2 linked regions of the Coturnix japonica genome follow. The protein of the gene in region 1 interacts with the protein of each later gene in a pairwise test. Links are inferred from orthologs where the notes say so. Each region holds a gene or a part of one and is shown on either strand. Other genes may lie near its edges.

Region 1 (7,342 bases):
GGACTTCTCCTGAGAGAGCTCCTCTCTTTAACACAGCCTGAATTCCACCCAAAGGACCTCAGACACACCTGCCAGTGTCCAAGCTGGGCTGAAGCACACGTTAAAGGCTCTCTCCCTCTACTTCTCCCCAGGTCATGCACAATAGTTTCCTTCCTTCCTCCCACACCTAATTTCAAGCCCACACCTTCCCAAGTGCACCAAGAATCCTCAGTTTATCCCACAGCCCAAAAGAGAAGTTTTTCGTACCGCCCAATATTGCGTGCCAGGGCCTGCTGGATTCCTCTTATATCCTTCTGTGTTTGTTCAATCTTTTCCATTGTCTGGAAGAGGCGGACACTCAGGGCCTTCTTGGTGCTCTTGCTGGCATGGTAGATCTCTTTGCTTTTCCTTTCCGGCAGTGTCATACCTCCAACCTTCTCTCCTGTGTTCTTCCCTCTCAGTTTCTCATTCAGAAAGTCAAACACATTGCGGGGTGGCTTGCGGCTGCCTGCAGGGGACCTCCCAGTGTTATTTCCCTTTGCTCGGGATTTCTTTGAATTGCCAGGGTCCAACCTCCCCTGTTTCTTTCTCTGAAGCACCTCAGCACACTGGTCAAGGGACTTCCCTCGAGGAAGTACCACCGCCTGCACCGGCTCCACTCGGCCATCAGAATTCTTCCCAAGCCCTGAGAGGGAAAAGCCATAAGAGTCACCAAGCCATTACCAAGAGGAAGGACATCCCCTCTCCAAGTCAGATCCCACCACAAACTCACACTGACAGTGACAAGCTTAGAACAAGCAAGCAGGCTTTGGACGTGCAAAATGTCGTAACTACCATCCAAATCAAGGGAAACAGCCAAAAGCTGCAGCTCATCTATGTAAATCGACAACAGGAGCCTTCCTCAAGCAGAATATAAGTGATAAAAAGCCCAAGGCCAATAACCAGGTCAGTTTCTGTAAGACAAGGTTCAGTTTCACATCCTTGGCTTCTCAAGGAAGGTTCTTCTTAAAACTGGTTTGGTTCCTCTGGGAGAATCCGAGATAAATCAAGTAGCAAACTGGCCTCCCAAAGCCCCCAAGGCTCCATCCAATTTGTGTAGTAAGAAGCTAGTTTAGCAGGCTTTGAAGTCCACGTCTAGAGCCAGGAGATGCTTTAATACAGACATCACAAGCTTCATAAATCAGTTCCTTTCTACCTACCTAAAGCCTTTGAACAGCTCATTCAACAGTTCTCACAGCTTTAATCATTAACCTGACCATGGTTTTAAATGCCTCCAAACTTTTGCTGTTACCATACAAGAGCTGGTGCACACATGCGGCTGTACTTCGATTAAATAGTTCTCTTCTTGCCTACCAACATTTCCACCCAGGGGTGATTCATCACATACCTCAAGCCTTATCTAACAGGCCCTTCAGCAAAGTTTTTGCCTCGTCCAAAATCTTGGTCTTCTTACCTAGCCTTAGGATGCATCACAAGACTGAGACTGCAATGCAGGCAGGCTCTCACACCACCATGATAACCCTCTTTCCTTACCTTTTCCAAACTCATATCCCATCTGAACGAGCAGTTTGGAGCCAATGCCACGAGTGTGGGCTTCCCAGCCACCGAAAGAGGAACTGCATGCAGGAACCCATTCTCCATTCTCTGGAACCCCAGAATCTATCACTGTAACACAGAAAAGACAAACCGGTGACACACAGACACAAAGCTGATTTGCAAAACCTTCAAGAGCATGAAAACCCTTCTTGATGTAATACAATGTACTGCTCCCACCACAGAATTGTTCAGCAGCTCCTCCAGCCTTACTTGCTCCTGCTATGCTGTCACCTTTTACAAACACCACTTAGAGGGTTATTTGAGAGCTCTCACTTGAATTAACGCACATACCATCTCACAGTTCCAAGCAGAATCGCCTAGAAGTTTCTATGTTTCTTTTCTTTCCTTTCTTCTGGAATGGTCAGATTGACATATGACATCCCAGCAAAGTTTGGCACTGTGGCACATAATGTGCTTAATTAGTGCCTCCAGTGCATGTCAGTAGCATGAGGATTCTCTAGGCTACTATGCTAATGATGTGTTATTAGCACTCAATAATCTCCATTAGGCTGAATTTACTGAGCAATAGGACACAGCTTTGTCCCTGTGACAAAACAGGGGCACAGACAGAGTGCTATCTGTGTATGCTCAGAGAACCTGGTTCTGTTGGTGTCACCTCTTCATAGTAAAAAGCCAGGCACAGCTGTTACTCATCAAGACACTGGGAGGTTTGAATACCTGTGCCTGGGATCTCTTACTCCTGTTGTGTTATACAGCTCTGTGTAGGCTCCGGAGAGATTAGAAGTCTCCTGTTTTACTTGCTCAGCTCACACACCCACTTGAAAAACAGACTAAGAACTGGAACTCCATTATAAAACATTGCGCCCTCTACCTGCTGCTACAGAAACATTTGAGCTTCACCAGACTCATACTGGTGACAGAAGGCAGACACAGATCACAAGGCACTTCTCTCACACCCCCACCACCCTCTCACCTTTAGCATAACCAGAATCATCAACACTGTCTTCATCAGATTCAGCAGATGAGGCACCATCTTCGCTTCGTAGTGGGGGAATTATACTATCTCCTTCTACAACAGCTTCCTTTAGCAGCAGGGAATCAAACTTCACCGTGTAGTAACCACTGTCAATATCTACAGAAGGAAAAGCAAGAAACAAGAGTTCAAGTAAACTCTCAATACAAACACTGCAGAGAGCTTCCTCAAAGTTGGCTTCAGGGAATGATGCGGGAGAGGAGGAAGGCCTGAAGAACACGTGTTAAAACAGCTGAAGGCTTAAGAGATTTACTTATAAAAATAGAGGAATATGGGCTGTCAACAAATGGAACTAAAAAGAAGTTTGACTTACTCCCTCTGACCCAACAAGTGCCAAAGAAAAAAACTTCTCAGAACAGAGGGGAGCCTCTATCAACAGCTCCCAGATTACTGCAGTTCTACTCTAATATGCAATTGTATATGCATGTATATTTCCTATCCTATTCCCTTCCCAAGCCTGACACAACTCAGAACACGTTCTCAACTACCTCCAGATTTTTAGTTCAAGGCCACAGCTACATCCTCAAGTGTTTGCTATCATTAACCAAAACGGTCATACTTTGTAATTCCTTCAGCATGGGTGCTCAATCTCTACACAGCTCTGGCACAACACCCACAAACACCACTCACCAGTTATTTTGGCAGCATACCATATCCCATCACTGTGTTTGGCCAGGCAGGCTGAGCCCACCTCCAGGGTACTCAGATTGGGCTCCTGAAAAGGCTGAAGCTCCTCCACAGAGACCACCTGGCCATGTGAAAACCTGCCAGGGAAGACAGAAAAGGAGTCAGATCTACCTCACTAGAAAGGGCTTGAAATATAAACCCCTTCCTTCCTGACAGGAAACTCAAACAAATTGTCAGCAGTGATGAATCTGCATCAGAAGGTTTATCATGCATCATTTCAATTAAAGAAGTCATTCGTTTTTCACCATATTCATATAATTTATGCTGTGTAATAGAAGAAATAATCCCACTCCCAAGAATGAAGCTTTCCCTGATAGGGAGATCTCTGAAAAATCACAGATCTTTTGAGATAATGAGGACTGCACACAGACACAGAGATCTCAGCCTCCTGCTCAAAGCAAAGCCAACTTCAAAGCCTGATCAGGCTGCTTAAGGCCTCATCTGGGTTAGATTTGAAGCTCTCCAAAGATGGAGACCCCGCAGCTGGAACAAAGGTACCATCAACAGACAGCCCTGGGTGTTTTTGTTTTAACTCATAAGCCTGTGACTAAAGTAGCTATTGGAATGATCAGGTAAAATCTCTGCAACTTGCCCACAGGGATTTCCACTTCATATCTGCATTACCTGAACTGTCCAGCTCTTTGATACCACCTGTTACCATACATAATGGATTTTAATAACACTGCAAAATCCCATTGGTTACAACAGCCAGCGTGGAACACTCAGATGTTCCAGCCTTTGAATCACACGGCCTTTATCAGCAGCGAGGATACGAGCCCCCTCCCCCTCCATATTTTTCTTTACCGACAGTTCTCTTTAAATCTGCATTTGTCATCCAAGAAGAACGGGCACGGCTTCAAGGACTTGTGAGTGGGGTAGAGATACAGCACTCTGACACCTGCACTGCCATCTTCCAAGTACTCCGTCCCCACAATCATGGCATTATGATACTCCAGCGTCCCCCACGAGCTGTAATACGGCGCTTTAACCTTCATCCCACTCAATTCCTCCTCCTCCTCCTCTCTATCAGACTCTTCCTCGCTGCATTTCAATTCACTCTCCTTGCTTTCTTCGTCTCCCGTCGCAGATCTCTCGCTGTTATCAGCTGAGGGCTCACCATCAGTCCCCAGCTCAGCAATGGCTTCCTTGAAGGCAGCATATTCCTCATCCTGGGCACAGCTATCGGGATTTTCACGCTGATTTACACAGGAGGCGCTTGTATCCAACGCAGCCAACAACTTGCTCTTCTTCACAGCCACCAGGCTGGACTCGGTCAGTTCTATCAGCTGCTTTAAATCTTCTTGTAACTGAATCAGATCCGATCGCTGCGAGGGGTCCTGGCCCGCCCCCAGAGCCAGCTCAACCTGCTGCAGCTGGGCGTTGTAGGCCTGGATGGCGGCTTCCAGGCTCTCCTCATCCATTGCGAATAGAAGCCAGGCCCCGGTTTAGGCCTCAATCCGAACCTCCCCGCTCAGCTCCCGCACCCCCACAGCACGGCCGCCATTACGCCCCCCCCACTTCCGCCCTTCTGAGCAGCCACTTCCGGCTTTTCCAGCTGTCGCGCAACGCCACTTCAGCGACCAATCTCTCCGTAGTGCGCTTGCGCAGTCGGGCCCGCCCCACGCATCCGGCGCCGCTGAGCATTCTGGGAGTTGTAGTTTAAAATAACCCCACCTCCCCGCCATAGAGGCGGTGTGAGAACTACACTTCCCAGAGTGCCTCGCGAGGGACGGCGCCGGCGGCTGGTGTGGTGGGGGAGCGAGGCGGCGCTGGGTGACGGGAGGAGCTCCCGGTACCGGGTGAGGGGCTGCGGTGTGCGCTGTGCGGCCGGGCCGGGGCCTGCGGGGTACGGAGGGACTGTGGAGGGATCTGAGAGCTCAGCCGGGCTCTGAGGGGTGGGGACGGCGGGGAGGGCTGCGGGCTGTGGGGCAGGGGGGGTCTAAGGGGCGTTGTGTTGTGACCAACTGCTTGTATAGCGGGTGCTGCAGCAGCACTGCTGTTGGAGAGAGGAGGGTTTGGGATAGGTGAGGGTTCCTACACACACCGCCTGGGTACGTGGTTTGAAGTTAAAAGAGGGAAGATTTAGGTTGGATGTTAGGGGGAAGTTCTTCACTAGGAGAGTGGTCAGGCCCTGGAACAGGCCGCCCAGGGAGGTTGTGGATGCCCCGTCCTTGGAGGTGTTCAAGGCCAGGTTGGACGGGGCCATGGGCAACCTGATCTATGGGGTCTCTATGGGGTCTCTATGGGGATCTATGGGGTCTCTATGGGGATCTATGGGGTCTCTCTGGTCTCTATGGGGATCTATGGGGTCTCCTGGGCAACCTGATCTAGTAAAGGTGTATGTTTGGTGGCCCTGCCAGGCAGGGGGGTTGGAACTACATGATCCTTGAGGTCCCTTCCAACCCGGCTCATTCTGTGATCCTGTGATCTGGCTGTGAGCTCGGTTCAGCTGTTGAAGATCCCATAATACTGTCATAAACAAAGTGAGGGGGCACCAACCTGCACATTCCTGCTCAGAACACTCCTCTATATCTGCACACCACTGGCTTCTTTTCTACGAGTCTTATATGTTCTCTAAGTTACTTTCAAGCAGACTTTAGCTTGCTCTTAAGTCCAAGAGAGAACAAACTTTGAGTTGAGAAGTGAGTTCATAATGGATGCTGTGCATTGTGTGCTGAAACACAGGTTAAGCTACTTGGAAGATCATGTTTTGAACATTGGATCTTGAGCTGTTTGCACTCTTCCTTTTGTGTCTGTGATTTGTCCTAGGGTTGGCTTAAGAGTTACTGATAAACGAGTAATGTCACTTATTAATCTGATGTTGGGAGAAGTTTAGATCATGGAGTGGAAGAATTCTGGAGATAATCTGTTTGTTAATGATTTCCTGGCATCTGTTGCAGGAGCAGGATGTATACTCTGCTGTCTGGGCTCTATAAGTATATGTTCCAGAGGGATGAGTACTGCATCTTGATCCTCGGTTTGGACAATGCTGGTAAAACAGTAAGTGCTGAGTGTTACCAATTGCATGCAGTTCTAAACATCCCCATCTTCAGAGACAAAACTTCCACCAGATGGGTCAGTCTTTGTCTGTAACATGAGCTATTTAAGCGATGTTGCCCCCAAGGAATCAACTTTTATCTCGTATTTAAATTTAGCATAAGCTTTGATAATCCTGTAATCCTTGTGAGCCCTTCTTTCTGCACTGAAATAGGGAGCGAGAAAAGTGCTTTGTTTCAAGGTTAGGGCAGTATCTATTGGAACAAGGTTCTGCAGTCATGAAAAAGGAGATCTGGGGCAGGGTCACCCAAGGCAGTAGAATATATGAGAGTGAATACTATTTCACATTCCTTTTCAGACCTTCCTTGAACAGACTAAAACTCGATTTAACAAGAACTACAAAGGGATGAGTCTGTCAAAAATCACAACCACTGTAGGCTTAAACAGTAAGTAAATATGTCTGGATTGTTGTTATTATTATTGCAAAGTTAGGCAACAGTTTCTTTTGGAGCGTTTGAATTACTTAAGAGTAAGCAAGACCAAAATAGTCCCTGCAAATGAAGGTCTTCTCTCCCAACCCCATTTATTTTGTGTAAGAATAAGATTGACTTGTTTAGCTTATAAGCAAAGGTAACCTTGAAGCCATGAAAACCTAACGAAGCAGATGTTCCATTTCAGGGCTACGCTCTGCAGTTAAGTAACATTTTGCTGGAATTCTTTGGCCTGATTCTGATATTATTTGTACTGATGTGGTTCTATCTGATATAGATGTCACTTCTACCTCATGTATTGTTGTGCTGCTGGAAGTAGCACTGTATATGATTTGCTCCAACCCCTCACTCTCAGTGTCTGTACTTTAAAGACCCTTTTTAGTTTTCATTGGATTGTTTTTTCTTCTTTCCTTCTAGTTGGTACAATTGATGTTGGCAAAACTCGGCTGATGTTTTGGGATCTTGGGGGCCAGGAGGAGCTACAGTCTCTTTGGGACAAGGTTGGAGATGTAGTTTTTTCTTTTGGTCTCTTTCACAATTACAGAACTATGATCCTTTAATCATCATATGGGTTTAATGGTAACCTTAGTCTTCAGCA
Region 2 (7,169 bases), about 3.5 Mb from region 1:
GCACTAACCACACAGAAGAGTAGTCGTTTTAGTGGATAGTAGGGGACATGGAAACAGGTTGCAGTGACAAGTAGAATTCTGTTTCTAAGATTCTCTTTCTCTTTTTTTTTTTTTTCAGGGGGTCTTATCTAACCTTTTCTTTGTGGAGCATGACTTTCCTGAGCAGGACATCCAGGAAGGGAAAAGCCATCAAAACATACATGAGGCACAGTTTGTGGTGGAACTTTGCAAATACTTCTTGTGTCAGGATTATCAACCTTCTCAGATCACCATTCTCACTACTTACACTGGACAGCTTTTCTGTTTGCGCAAGCTCATGCCAGCCAAGACTTTTGCAGGTGTGAAGGTTTACGTAGTGGATAAGTACCAGGGAGAGGAGAATGATATTATTCTGCTGTCACTCGTGCGGAGTAACAAAGAGGAGAGAATTGGGTTCTTGCAGATCCCTAATCGGATATGTGTAGCCCTATCCAGAGCTAAGAAAGGGCTGTATTGTATTGGAAATATGAGAATGCTGAGCAAGGTGCCTCTCTGGAGCAAGATCATTCACACACTGAGGGAGAAAGGTAACATCGGCCGCTCACTGACGCTTTGCTGTCAAAATCACCCTGAGACCATGACTCTGGTATCCACAGCAGCAGACTTCAGCAAAGTCCCAGAAGGAGGCTGTAGTCATCCCTGTGAATTTAGGTTGGACTGCGGACATGTTTGCACAAGAGCATGCCACCCATACGATTTACAGCACAAAAAGTATCAGTGTCTGAAGCCTTGTCAAAAGGTGCTTTGTACAGAGGGGCATCGCTGTCCACAGTTATGTTATGAGCCATGTGGACCATGCATGGTAATAGTAGAGAAAATGGTTTCTAAATGTGGCCACCTGCAGATGATGCCATGCTCTTGTCCAGAAAGTAAGTTTATTTGCCAAGAACCTTGCCAGAAAAAATTAAGCTGTGGGCATACATGCAACAAAAGCTGTGGGCAGGAATGTAGTACTCGGTGTCCTGAACTGGTTACAGTCTCTCTGCAATGTGGCCACAGCCAGAAAGTTCGATGTTGGATGACTGATGAGATGAAATATCATAAACCTATTGAATGTATGGCTAAGTGCACTGTCAAACTGGAGTGTGGCCATGGATGCTCAGGTTCCTGTCATTCCTGCTTTGGAGGAAGATTTCATGAGCAATGTAAGAGCCCATGCAAGCGCTTCTTAATTTGCTCCCACAAGTGTCAGCAGCCTTGTACTTCAGAATGCCCTCCCTGTCAGCTTGACTGTCAGAACCGCTGTGTCCACAGCAGATGTAAAAAGAAATGTGGAGAGCGCTGTTCTCCATGCGCAGAGCCATGTGAGTGGCGATGCCAGCACTATCAGTGCACCAAACTTTGCCATGAACCATGCAATAGGCCTCGATGCAATGTACCATGTACCAAGCTGCTGCGCTGTGGTCATCCTTGTATTGGATTCTGTGGAGAGCCCTGCCCAAAAAAGTGCCTTGTTTGTGACCGTGAGGAGGTTACCCAGATCTTTTTTGGCTTTGAGGATGATGAGGATGCACGATTTGTACAGCTTGAAGATTGTGGCCATGTCTTTGAGTCTCAGGGCCTTGATCGTTATATGGATGAAGATGATGAAGCCATCAAGCTGAAGGTGTGCCCTACCTGTCAGACACCGGTCAGAAAGAGTTTGAGATATGGCACTATGGTGAAAAAGCATCTGGCTGAGATAGAGAAGGTGAAAGAGAAAATCCAAGGCCCAGCATGGAAAATTGTGTCAAGCAGACAAAGACTAGAGGCTGCGCTCGCAAGTAAGAGTGTTCTGAGGAAGAGCCTACTCGCTAAGTACCTCGTGTTGGAGGATAAGCTGAATTCCTCTGATCTTTCCATAAGGAGCACTGCATTAATTGAGAATCTGATTAACTTCTATGAACGTATAGCTGACCTAACCAGTTCTCTGGGCAAAATTGATTCAAAAGAGCAAAAAGGGCTGAAAAAGCGTCTAGACGAAATCCAGGAGTGGCTGGATAAGCCACGCCTCGGTTTTACACAGCAGGAGCTCATGGATCTGCAGGCTGAGATCCAGAGATTGACCTACCTACAGGACCTGTTGTCAAGGTGTAAAGCCGTAAGTGGGAAGATCACTGTGACCGTTGCAGCAAAGATTGCCAAGGTCCGTGAGATCTTGGAAGGGACAAAAAGGTTTACAGAGAAGGAAGAGGCTGCAGTGAAAGCTGAGCTGAAGCTTCTCAAGGCTGCCCTGCCCCTGTCGGGATTGGGGATCACTGAGGCTGAGAGAGTGCAGATTGTCAGCGCTATGGGCCACCCGCGTGGCCACTGGTTCAAATGCAAAAATGGGCATGTCTATGTGATAGGGGACTGTGGGGGGGCGATGGAGAGGAGCACGTGCCCTGAATGCCACGAGGTCATCGGGGGTATGAACCACACTCTGGACAGCACGAACAGCCTCGCTTCGGAGATGGACGGAGCGACCCACGCGGCCTGGTCCGAAACAGCCAACAACCTGCTCAACTTCCAGGATCTCCAGCGCCTGCTGTAGCTGCTCCAACCCTGCCTCTCTGCCTGAGGGTGCAGCGCTCATTCCTTGGCTGTTCACTGCTGCCTCTGTAATCACAGAACCACAGAATGACCCGGGTTGGAAGGGACCTCAAGGATCATGTAGTTCCAACCCCCCTGCCTGGCAGGACCACCAAAGATACACCTTTACTAGATCAGGTTGCCCATGGCCCCGTCCAACCTGGCCTTGAACACCTCCAAGGACGGGGCATCCACAACCTCCCTGTGCAGCCTGTTCCAGGGCCTAACCACTAGTAAAGAACTTTCCCCTAACATCCAACCTAAATCTTCCCTCTTTTAACTTCAAACCATTTCCCCGTGTCCTGCTATTGTCAGCCCTTTCCAAGAGTTGACTCCCCTCCTGGCAGTAAGTTCCCTTCAGGTACTGAAAGGCTGCAATGAGGTCACCCCGCAACCTTCTCCAGGCTGAACAAACCCAACTCCCTCAGCCTGTCCTCATAGGGGAGGTGCTCCAGCCCCCTGATCATCTTCCTGTCCCTCCTCTGGACCCTTTCCAAAATCTCCATGTCTTTTTTTGTACTGAGGTCTCCACACCTGGACACAGTATGGATATAATCAATAAAACGCATATACATTGTACCCAACACCGCCCTTCCTTGCCGGGGTAGCGGGCGGGACTGGGAGGGTTTATCTAACGGGGCGGAGCCGCCTGTTTTCTGCCGTCCTCCGGAAGGGGATGTGGCGTACAGCAGCCGACGGGCTGCCGTGCTGTTAGTTGTTGAGCCGGGCCGCAGCTGCCGTCCAGCCGAGCCGGAGCGCGGGGTGCTCCCGCAGCATGGAGACCCGGGAGCTGCTGCAGGAGCTGTGCGGCTCAATGCGCGCCGTGCTGGCACGGGTTAGAGGTGGGAGCCGGGGCCGGGTGGGGACGGAGGCGGACGTTAGGCCGGAGTTCTGGTCCGGGCTTTCCGCAGACTGAGGCCTTTTGTCTGCATTTACAGAGGGAGAACCGGGTGAAGGCCGCGAGCCGTTCGAGCCTCCGCGCTTCTGGGATGCGCTAGGTACGGGCTGGGGAGCGGGTTGGCACCGAGGGGACCGCCGGGTGGGGCGGAGGTTGGACCGGCCCACAGCAGGGCTGGGCGGGTCCCAGGGCAGGCTGGGTCCATAGCGGGGCTGTGAGCTGCAGGGGATATCTCTGGCACTCCCCCTCAGCTCTAGTTCTGCTGCTGTTACATAGCACTATGAAGCGGTTTTTACAACGTTTTCAAAGCCTTATGGATCTTTCTACTTCCTGCCTTGGAGCAGGAGATGAATGTGATTATGGGTAGCAGTTCCAGCTAAGTAAAAAGCTGGCAGTGAACACATACCTGATGCGTGTTTGTGCATCAAAGGCACCATGGAAACTTTCTTTTGCAGTCTAATTTGGCATATATAGCTTTTTCATGCTGAGAAGGAAGAAATAGTAGTGTCAGGGAAGACACTGCTAGTCGACTTACTCTGTTCTAGTTTTACCTGACAGAGTTTCTAATTTCCTTTTTCCTGCTATATCCTCTCTAGGTCAGGCATTCAAGGCAACATCCCAGGAAGCTACAAAGCTTAGTCTGGCGTTCTCGAGACCTCCACTGCCTTCTGCAGAGGTTAGTAAAAATCTCCCACAGAGCAGGAAATTACTGTCTGTGTGACAAGTTTGAGGTATCTCTCAGTTCACTTGACTAATGCAAAGTTATCAAGTTGAGCATAAAAAAGGGACTTTATATGAGCTGTATTTTTATTTATTTTAAATGAATATTAATCAAATTCAAGAATTGCCTTGGAAACTAATTTATGTAGGTTAGGAGATGTCTTCTTAGATCTTTTTTGTTAAGCTTCTACGACTGATTGCTGATAGAGGTGAGATACTGGGCAGTGTAGATCTTTTCTCTTAACAATGAATGATGTTATGTCTTCTGTTAATTAAGAGAATATTAACGCTGTATGCGCCTTAATTTGAGAATAATTAAACTATTTTTTCCTTTCTTTACATCCCTTGAACCAAGGTGTGGTGGTCATACACCGTATATCAACTCTTGACACATGCAGTGTGCATGCAGCTCTAGCAAATTATTCTCTTCTGTGCTTGTTGGCATCACAGAAACATACTGCCTCTTCTTGTGCTGTGTTTGTTTCTCCATTATTGTGATGCTATTCCTTTTTCTTACAAAGTAACATAGATTTAAACGATTTCTTTTGAGGCTTTCTAAATGTAGTGTAGCCCTGTGATATTCCTAGTTAATCCTTCTGCCTACCTATTTTCAGAATTGTCGGAAGCTGAGTGAAGATGTCCAAAATGCTATTCTTGCAGTTGCCACAGTGTACTACTGGCTCCCCAAGGGCCAAGGTGAGAGAGTGATGGAGGACAGAGTCAGTTCCTTCATCACTATGTGAAGAAACCCGATATTTCACAGCATGTTAAATTTGGTCTGTATGGGAAAACAAGTTAATATGAACAAAGTCTTGTCAGCTGTTCTATAGACTTGCAATGTGATTATGAGTGAACTTGACAATTTGCTCTTGGAGATTTCCATCTGTGAACAAATGATAATATAGGAAGTGGTATAGTTTACCAAGCATTCATGTTTGTAAAGAGCTGAAATCTCTGTTTAAAGTCTTGTTAGAACTTTAGAATTTAGGCAATATAAATTGCTTCTGTGACTTTATACTGTGTGTCTGTGTGTGTGACTTTATACTGTGTGCCTGTCTGTGTATTCATCTATATCAGTTTCTTCCTTTTGGCAACATACTTGCTGTTTCTCAACCAGGTACTACACTTCGGAAGATGGTACGAGATGCTACCACTGAAGTATTGGAAGGAATGATCCAGCTCACAGAAACAATTCTCATTTCTCCATTGGGAAGGTAGTACTTTTCCAGCAAGAAGAAAAAGTTCCAAGTACACTCACTAAGGAGCAGCAAGTGTAGACTGCACTCATAAGGGAAGTGGGAAGGCAGGAACCGAGCATTGTTATTAGGCAAGCAAAGGCAGCAGACTCATTGGCAAGGGATTCTGATTGAACAGAACGGTGCTGGTGTTGACATTTGTCAAGCCCATAGCAACAATGTCAAACTGGAAAGCTAGGCCAACAAAGTAACAATTGGCTTTGGAGAGAGTAATTGGCATCACACACCATCCAATGATTGTCCAGCCAAGACCATTGCAATTAATTGGGTCTGAGGTCAAGCCAAGAAATCAGTGGTCTGCATTCAGATCAGAATCAAGGAGAGAATCAAGACCAGGTAGAGATATGGCTGCAACACAGCTGTGATGTAGCACAAGCAGAACCTAGTGAGAGACTCTCAGTGGAAAAGTCTGTCCTATGGTAAGGAAGGGCTGGGTCTCACTTGTAGCATTCTTCAACTGCATTTGCTTTGGTAGAGAATAGATTTTTCATCCTGTCTGTGGCAAGGAAATATGCTGGAAGTAGGATTTCCATGACAGTGCTTGATACTGTTTATACTGTTTGGCAATTCTTGCTTGTGGAGTGAATGGTGACGGTGATTGTGTGACTCTCTGTGGCTAGTTAGCGGACAACAGTCCTTCCAGGGAAATATGCAGTCTCTGTATTTACTGATTAATTCCATTGCCTCTAAGCAAAGATCAGCTGTCTCTTCTGATTTGGGTAAATACTCAAAGTTAAATAATATTTAAGCACCTTTAAAGGTTTTTGTAAGAAACTCCTGCATCTTGTTCCAACTAGTTACTAAACTCAGTAGGATTTATTAAAGCATCCTGTGCTTTGCACAGTTGTGAAATACTGGTGACAAGATAGTTTGCCAGTATTTTTTCAGCTGAGCCTCTTATAGTTTGCACAAAAATAAAACTGCCTAGCAGAGTGGTGTGGTGTTACCCTAACTTTGAGGGCCTCTGTTTTGTTTCAGCTCATCTCAGGAGCAGCTTATATCAACTGGTGGTGTGTGGGAGGCATGTGAGCAAGTGTCCAGCCTGCCACGAGGTGAGTACTATGTATGCAGACCAATGGAACTAGAATGTGTGATCTTGAAATACTGTTAACTCTTGAGAGGGGCATTTTAGGTAGTACACTGTAGGCTTACTCATTCTTCTGAACTTTAGTATTCTCTGAAGTATGGAAGCCTGCTCTGATAATTTGTAGAGCAGTACAGTATGGTTCTGAGCTTTGCAAAAAAATAGGATCCTATGATCTCAAGATCTAATGGTTGCAAACACAGATGAATGTTGGTGCAAGCTGATTTGAATCACTGCAGTTCTACAGTTCTCTTCACTTTTCCTTTTGCAGATAACCAGGCAGCAGTTGTGTCATCTCTGTCTGCATTTCTAGGTGTGGTCAAGGATGCTGTGGAAGAGATGGAAAATGTAAGGAAACCCCTAAGTCACTGGGGAACCTGCAGTGATTTCTCTGAAAGAACACAAGCATTGTTAAATATGCAGGCTTTGATTTAGGTTGGTTCTAGTATGACCAATATTATTATCTTATGCCTGTCTTACTAAGGTTTTTAAACCTGGGTCTGGTTTACCTTACAGAGAGCTTCATGGAAGCTCTGCCATGTTTGTCGTTTTAGGTTTATGTAAGAATGGGACTGTTTGCCAGGTTCTCACAGTTTGCTGTTTTGAACAGGAGTCAGTGATC

The links.
Region 2: the proteins of ZGPAT (region 1) and CCNDBP1 interact in binary tests that used the Homo sapiens proteins (3 or more experiments, as listed by UniProt). The two-hybrid records come from large-scale screens. The link is inferred for Coturnix japonica from reciprocal best matches to the Homo sapiens genes ZGPAT and CCNDBP1.

The regions. Positions count from the first base shown.
Region 1 is NC_029535.1:9,382,652-9,389,993, reverse strand, and holds the start of ZGPAT (zinc finger CCCH-type with G patch domain-containing protein), read right to left. Parts: upstream 4,773-7,342; 5' UTR 4,678-4,772; coding exon 4,061-4,677; intron 3,334-4,060; coding exon 3,200-3,333; intron 2,669-3,199; coding exon 2,510-2,668; intron 1,645-2,509; coding exon 1,513-1,644; intron 665-1,512; coding exon 247-664; intron 1-246. Other genes in the region: ARFRP1 (ADP-ribosylation factor-related protein 1), read left to right, coding at 6,164-6,256, 6,612-6,699, 7,162-7,244. UniProt on the Homo sapiens protein: Transcription repressor that specifically binds the 5'-GGAG[GA]A[GA]A-3' consensus sequence. Represses transcription by recruiting the chromatin multiprotein complex NuRD to target promoters.
Region 2 is NC_029535.1:5,929,656-5,936,824, reverse strand, and holds the start of CCNDBP1 (cyclin-D1-binding protein 1), read left to right. Parts: upstream 1-3,256; 5' UTR 3,257-3,364; coding exon 3,365-3,431; intron 3,432-3,527; coding exon 3,528-3,587; intron 3,588-4,083; coding exon 4,084-4,163; intron 4,164-4,821; coding exon 4,822-4,903; intron 4,904-5,324; coding exon 5,325-5,421; intron 5,422-6,441; coding exon 6,442-6,515; intron 6,516-6,818; coding exon 6,819-6,895; intron 6,896-7,169. Other genes in the region: ZNFX1 (NFX1-type zinc finger-containing protein 1), read left to right, coding at 119-2,551. UniProt on the Homo sapiens protein: May negatively regulate cell cycle progression. May act at least in part via inhibition of the cyclin-D1/CDK4 complex, thereby preventing phosphorylation of RB1 and blocking E2F-dependent transcription.